Schizosaccharomyces pombe: one gene and its partner. The protein of the gene in region 1 interacts with the protein of each later gene in a pairwise test. Each region holds a gene or a part of one and is shown on either strand. Other genes may lie near its edges.

Region 1 (3,929 bases):
GATGAATGTAATTGCTATGAACCCAGGCAAACGTATACAAGATTTTTCCAACCAATTTTTACGAGATTTTATAAGTCTTCTAAGGACTGCTCACGGTGAGAAAAAGATTCATTTTAACCAATTTTATCAAGAATATATCCGCGATAAAAACCATGTTCATATGAATGCTACTCGATGGCATACACTTAGCGAGTTTTGCAAATTTCTGGGTCGTCAAGGAATGTGTCGCGTGGAAGAAAATGAAAAGGGTTTTTTTATTTCTTATATTGATAAAAACCCTGCTAATATCTTAAGAAATGAGGCTAACAAGAAACGAGAACGTCAAGAAAAATCTGATGAAGAACAACGTCTTCGCTTGCTTGATGAACAGATTAAGCGTGCTTATGAATCAGCACAGAATAACGAGGACAATAAGGATGGAAGTTCAAGGGAGCAACCTGTACTACATGAGATTGATCTTTCAAAAAAAGGAAACCCGATTCAACTTAATTTATCCTCATCTTCAGATTCTCACTCTGCTCAAAATGAATTTTTTCAAACAAGAAATACACCCACATTTTCTTTTTCTAGTTCATCCTCCCAGACCTCCTTGAAGCACAAACCAAAAAATGTTTTTGCAGAGCTGAATAAAAGCCGTAAAAAGAACAATAAGGATTCTTTAGATCAAGGGCAGAATGTAAAAAGGCCACGGTCAGCTGTTGAAGACATTATTGCTCAAGAAACAATGAGAGAGAAAAGACGCAATATAAAGCTCTAACCGGAGAATTGACGTTTTTAAAAGGCTTCAAAAGTGAGAATTTATTTATTGGTTTATTATTTATAAAAAAAATACGCTTGTACTTGTACTTTTACTTTTAATGTAGCTTATTTAACCGTATATGTGTTATTTAGTAGCCTTTCTGCTAGCTTAGTCTACTTGATTTGAAGGTGCTGTAAAATACATGAAAGCTCCAAATTTCATATAATTTTGCTTTCACTTGATCTAAGTTAGAGATTTAATAACTTATATTTTACTATAGTACATATATATGAAAATGTTCGATACGTTAGTAATTGTAGCACAATTCCGTATACAACCTTGCCTGAACAAACATAATCAGTTAAGACATGGCTTCGGAATTTTCCGGTCAAATACAAGAATTGCTGTCTAGAATACCTCCTGTAACAAGGTATATTCTGCTTGGAACAGCAGCTACCACAATTTTAACTTTATGTCAACTTCTTTCACCTTCGATGCTAGTTCTGCATTATCCGTTAGTCGTTCGTCAGAAACAATGGTATCGTTTATTTACTAATTATCTCTATGCTGGAACTGGATTTGATTTTATCATGAACATTTATTTTTGTACGTAAATCCATTAAAACCTGTATTTAAATTCTAACGTTTTGTCAATAGTTTACCAATATAGCACATACCTGGAAAACTTTGTCTTTGCTAGGAATGCAAAAAAATACATTATTTATTTAGTTAAAGTTGCTCTTTTAATTGATGTAAGGAGTATTTGAAGGTCTAAAGTATGCTTATTAACGTTTCTCTTTAGGCATTTTCCTTGATCTCAGGACTTGGAAGCGCGTTAAATCAATCGCTTGCCGCTGCCATTGCTTATAATTGGTCTTTGTTTAACTCATTTTCCAAAATCCAGTTTTTGTTTGGTTTTCATGTTCAAGGCAAATATTTGCCATATGTTCTTCTTGGCTTCAGCTTTCTAACCGGAGGTCTTCCATCTCTAGTAGTATTGGGTTTTGGTATTATCTCTGCAATGATCGTCAATTTTTTTGATTCGATTCACACTCCTGTTGTCCATCGCTCCAACTCTCCCAAATTGAATTCCCAAAAGGTGTCTGGAACATTCATTGGGAAGGGCAAAAAGTTAGGCACTTAATTTTTCATATTGATGATTTCATTAAGTGCGTTAAAAACAGTCGATACGTGTTCGAAATTTTTATCAATATTTCTTACTCCATTCATCACCTGTCGAGTCTGGTAGGCAAACTTTCACAATTTTCAATAATGCATCAATGAGTTCCACTATTTCAAATTTTTGATGAATAATATTTCACTTCTTTCCTGTACGAACACGACGGCTTTCTCATTCATATGCTGATAGCTAAAAATCCGAACTACACTAATTTGTTGAAATGTAGCCCTTTATTATAATGTTCTTATCTAAATTTCTTTTTTTATCCTTCACCAATAGACTAAAGTAAACATATGTACAAATTGACGTGCGAGGCATATGCACTTAGAAATCTTTTATTTTACGTTCATAAAGTAAAGTGGGCCTATACCACGTAGAGTACACAGATCAACTACCAGCCAGTGTACGGTGAAGCAGGCATGGAGAATTCAAAATGGGGAGGTTTTCTTAAGAAAGCAATGTCAAATGTTGAAACCAGTATTGACAAAGTCTTAGACGGTAATCAGATTGAGGAGATGTCACGAGGAAATGCAAAATCAAAAGATGAGATTATCGCAAAGCTTCTTACGGAAGGACAGGCGCTTTCAAAAAATGAGTTAAAGTTAAACAATACAATTAAGCAACTTAAAAAGAGTTTAAGTGAAGCTGAAACAAAGTTGAAGCGCCTAGACGAGAAACAAGCGACTCCGGAATTACAGGTATCTGACTCAAAGGAGATGGAGGAACAATTGGAACTACAAAAGTCTCAATTTGAAAAGAGGATATCAATTTTAGAGAAAGAAAAGGAGGATCTTCAAAGAAAAATGGAAGAACTTACAGTAGAAAGCATGGAGGTTGTTCGTCTTACGCGTCAAGTAGAGACCCTCTCAACCCAGTATTCGATTCAAAGGAGTCAATGGGTACGTGAAGATGAAAAGAAGAAAAAGGAAATTCAAGACCTGAAAGAACTTTATGAGAAATCCGAGCATGGTGCAAAGAATTGGGAAAGGGAACGTGAGACTTTCCAGAATCAAGTATCTCAAATGTCTAAACAGTTAGATTCATTGGAGAAACTTTGTGAAAGGAAAGATGAAGAAATAAGGAGTTCTCAGGCTTTTAATATGACATTGAGAGAGGAAAATGATACTTTAGCAGCCCAAAATTTGGACTTACAAACACAACTAGACCGATTACAAAGGGAGCTTGACACTAATATAAGAAGTAATGTTAAATCTAAGCCTAAAAAAATTGTCACTACAGGAGGAATTCCTGAAAATAATGATTATACGGTTGGAAAGGTAGATACGCTTAAAGTCACCAAAGAAGATGAAGATCCCACTACCCCTACTAATGCTATTCCGATACCTTCATCTATGAGCAAGCGTGATGAAGCTTTAGAAAATGACAAAGATAATTATTTTGACGACCTACATCCCTTAAATATTTCAACAAGTCCGCAACCATCTCCTTTGAGTTTTTCAGAAATCCCACAAAGCGATACACGGAATGCTTTAGAAAACTTTTTGGATAATCTTCCTTCCCCTTCAGAAGAGAGATCCAGAATTTCCAGATCAGCATCAGAAGCGCGAAAGTTGGGTATAAACGCTCAGTCAAGGTATGCTTCCATAAGCAGTGCAGTTCTTTCTCCTCCTTCGGAAGCTTCAAGAAAATTTAGCCTATACGAATCTGAGGCAATATCACCAACATCAGGGACACCCAGCAATCTTGAAAAAGGTGCCGGGAATGTTCCTGATGTTAGTCTTTTGGAGCAACTTGCTACCACAATTCGCCGATTAGAAGCCGAACTACAAACAACTAAGCAGCAAGTAGCGCAACTTATAATCCAAAGAGATCAGGCCCGTCAAGAAATTGTTGATGCCTATGTAAATAATGATGCAAATGAAGATTCAAAAAAGCAAGTGGAAGAGCTTAGACTACAATTACAGAACCTCGAAAAAGAGCATGCCAGTACGTTGGTAACACTTAAGCAGAAAAGTGACAAAGTGTTTGAATTAGAGCTGGACATTAAGG
Region 2 (3,929 bases), on another chromosome or scaffold:
AAGAGTCGACGACTTTCTATATTTACGTTTAAATTGAGGCCATAGCAAGGTAGATGGAAGTGAATGAAGCAAAGTCCAAAAATCCGATAAGGTATTTTTTCTACGCGTAATTTTTTTGGTAGAAACCACCGACTTGCAATATTCCTCAAACACCTCTTTTCGTCTCTCTCCCGAATCTAATACGTAAAAACGATCATCGTCTAATAACTTTGGATAAACTAGTTCCCACGGTTGGTATGCCCCGATGTTTTTGTCCTTCAAAAGTTCAGTAAATACTCTTCTAGCATCATCAGTAGATAAATTTGTAGCTTGTTCCTGTATATCATAGGAAACTGTTTCATCATCCAATTGTTGAAGTTGATACATAATATCTTCCTCACCAAACTCCAACTCTTCAGCGGAGTGTGATTTTTCCTCATCCTCTTCTTCATCAGATTTTTCATAAAATTCTTCAGAATATAAAACGGATTCCTCCGATGATTCTTCTAAACCAGAGGGCTCTTCAATCTCTGTTTGTAAATGCCTAGATTCATGTATTTCTTCGTGGTTGGTTTTACCACTATCAACGTTCTGACTCTGTGAGGAATCTTTACTGATTTGCTTCCGTATCGGAAGACGTAATATCTTCAAGTCTTTACTAATTTCCAAAGGAGGTTCCCAATATGATTCATGGCTTTTTAAATTGTGAAAGAAATACCGATTTTTCTTAGTAAAAACAACCACCCATGAATCATTATTAGGAATTCTTTTTCTAAAAAAAAAGTTAATAACAAAATTTTACGCCTCACATACTTGAATTTTGGTCTGTCCGGTAATTGTTTCCTCAAATCTCGAGAATTTTTGCGCTCTTCAGCATTTTCATTAACAAACAGCTTTTCGCTTGTGTTAAACGCCAAAGAAGCTTGCGAAGCAGTAACAGAAGATGAATGGTTTTTCTCAATGAAACTTGGGCGCTGGTAAGTGCTTTTTTTTAACTCGGCATTCCAGTAATAAGGAATCCCACTGGGTGCTATGAGTTAGCAAATAAACTGCTCATTAAATTTACCTTTATGTTCAGTCCATCCAGGAGGCAAAGGCTGTGACATTAAGATATGTACAATCAAGAAGTTAAGTTCGACACTATGTTAGGTAGTATTCAGTGGGCGTGTGTGTGAGAATAGATAGAACAGTTTTGCAAAATCCAGCTGAATAGTTATGTCAATTACAAAAAAATTTCTACAAACTATTAAAAAAAATCTGTATAAATTGCATAAATTCATAGGTGTAGTTAACATTATTGAATATACTACAAAAACCTCATAACAGCACCGCACGTAGCGTCTTCCCAAGTATTTCCTTTAGAACAAATAAGAAGTTAATGAAATGGTCTACCAAGTACAATATAATAAAACATTTTCGAGAACTTCAATTTTAATATTGTCAATTTACAACAACCCGCATAAATTTACGAGCAATTCATAACTCGTGGTAAATCGTTAAACGGCAGGCTGGAAGTATTTGTAAGCAGCTACATTTTTACACTAGTATTGACTCCTCTGGTTCAAATATTTTTACAAGCAGATTTTAATTATTAGCAACCTACACTGATAACTTTATATCTTGAGGATATGAAAGTACTAAAGGTAAATTGATTATCGTAAAAATAGCTCTCATTTATAAAGACATTTGTTGTACAGCATAGCTTGTAAAAATAAGCGGATTAACAACATACTAATTTAAATCATAATAGATTAATTGTATTAGAAGACAGGTAAAAGTCAGTCCTGTTATAGTAGTGTAGTAAGCACATAAAGAATAAAGCAAGTGTGGTAATCGCACTTCGGTAGACCTCATTAATGTTCGTGATCTAGTGCTTCGCGCATTTTCGAACTTGTCATCAACCAAATTCATTATGTCAAGAAGCTACGATTCTCGCACGACTATTTTTTCACCTGAAGGTCGTTTATACCAGGTTGAATATGCATTGGAAGCGATCAACCATGCTGGCGTTGCTTTAGGGATTGTAGCTAAAGATGGAATTGTTTTAGCTGCTGAAAAGAAGGTTACCAGCAAACTATTAGAACAAGAAGAATCCGCAGAAAAGTTATATCATATAGGAGACAATATGTTATGTGCTGTGGCAGGGCTTACCGCAGATGCAAACATCCTAATTAACTACGCTAGAAGGGTTGGGCAACAATACTTGCAGACTTTTAATGAAGAGATGCCTTGTGAGCAATTAGTTCGTCGCGTTTGTGACCTCAAACAAGGTTATACACAGTATGGTGGGCTACGTCCATTCGGTGTTTCATTCTTATATGCTGGATGGGATCATATTCGTGGATATCAGCTATTCCAATCTAATCCATCTGGAAATTACGGAAGCTGGCAAGCAAATAGTATCGGAGGAAATAGTACTAGTGTTCAAAGCTTAATGCGACAGGAGTATAAGGATGATATAAACTTAGATGAGGCTTCTGCTATGGCCGTGAAATTTTTGAGTAAAACGTTGGACAGTAACTCCCTAACTCATGAAAAAATTGAATTTGCAACAATAACAAAGGATACCACGAAAAACAAAATGGTTTGCAAAATATGGAAGTCAGATGAAATAAATGAAGTGCTCAATAAGTACCAAGAGACCCAGCGGCAATCTTAATATTGCCTTACTCAATTCATTGGGAAAACACTTTAAGTGTATAGCTGTTTTTTATAGCTTTCGTCGTTACCCTTTAATCTCCTTGTAATTAGCTCATGGTTTTTGTAAACAATTTGAAGCAAACTAAGTTCCATCATGAGCCTTATTCCGTCTCAATATAGGCTTGCTTTCTTTTTATCTACGCTAAATCATTATCTTATGAATTCTTATGCCGTTTTAAAAAAGGCTTTTTTCAAGTTTCTTTTATACTTAGACCTTTCTTTCTCATTCCCTTCATAACGTCAATTTCTACTTGAGTACACCATTCCGGCATATTTAAAATTATAGTATTTCCAATGGAATGTCAATGACTCTCATATGTTCTAAACTATATGCTTAGTTTTCATAACTGAAGATTTTAAACGGTGTAGCATATTCCAATTCTATACTATTTATAAAAATAAGAGAAAACTTTTTGATGAGTATTATTAACTTTCACTTACATATTGAAGGATAAAAAAAATAACTATTGATATCTAAAAAAGGAATAGTAAAACAAATAATCTAATAATCGATGTAGTATAGACTAGTTGGCTATATAAATATGTTGGTTTGACAACCTTCCTTAGCGTTTAGCTTGGATTCATACTCTTCAAGAGTCCACTTTGCGGTATCTAGTTCACATTGTTTTCTAATTAAACTGGCTTGAACTGATTGCTTTATAAGCTTAAGATCATGGTTGAAGCGATCATACAACAGAGGGATAGACTTTTTAGAATCTTCATTTAATCGAGTCATTTGAGCCAACCTTGCAAGAGTCAGATGATATTTGCGTCGTAAATCCTCGTATGCCTCTCGTTCTATTTGACCAGGTAAAATTTCCTTAGGGTGTCTTTCCGGCATTTCTTTCATGGCAATTGCTTGGAATTTCGATTCATCTAACTGTTTATCATTATTGGAATTCGCAGGGGAAACCGGAGTCGGCAATTCCTCTACTGTTCCAAAAATGCGATCACTGTGGTATGCAAGGTAATAAACAAGTTCTACAGCATTACTTCCAAACATGGAAGGAGCCAAGGCAATTGCTAGTTGTTTCGTAACAAAATCACATTGATCTTTAAGAGGAAGTCTCAAAAGCAAACTACGACGTTAGATAATAAAACCTCTGAAAAACAAGCTTGGTGACTTACTCGGAAGCAATAGAAAAAATGTTCTCAAGGATCTTTAGGCTACTCTCGGGTAAGTCTTGTAAGATTTTTTTCAAATGATAAACTGCATCAGTTGAATTGAAAGATAGATCTTCAATGTTAGT

The links.
Region 2: the proteins of tmf1 (region 1) and pre9 interact in a two-hybrid assay, tested with the Schizosaccharomyces pombe proteins (one large-scale study listed by BioGRID).

Annotation. Positions count from the first base shown.
Region 1 is NC_003423.3:2,507,613-2,511,541, reverse strand, and holds the start of tmf1 (TATA element modulatory factor-like protein), read left to right. Parts: upstream 1-2,308; 5' UTR 2,309-2,338; coding exon 2,339-3,929. Other genes in the region: kin17 (KIN17-like protein), read left to right, coding at 1-757; Der1 family protein, read left to right, coding at 1,108-1,345, 1,397-1,491, 1,542-1,883.
Region 2 is NC_003424.3:423,186-427,114, reverse strand, and holds pre9 (proteasome core particle subunit alpha 3), read left to right. Parts: upstream 1-1,875; 5' UTR 1,876-1,891; coding exon 1,892-2,638; 3' UTR 2,639-3,189; downstream 3,190-3,929. Other genes in the region: splicing-associated factor Dre4, read right to left, coding at 1-751, 793-1,009, 1,046-1,085; RhoGEF Gef2, read right to left, coding at 3,212-3,758, 3,808-3,916.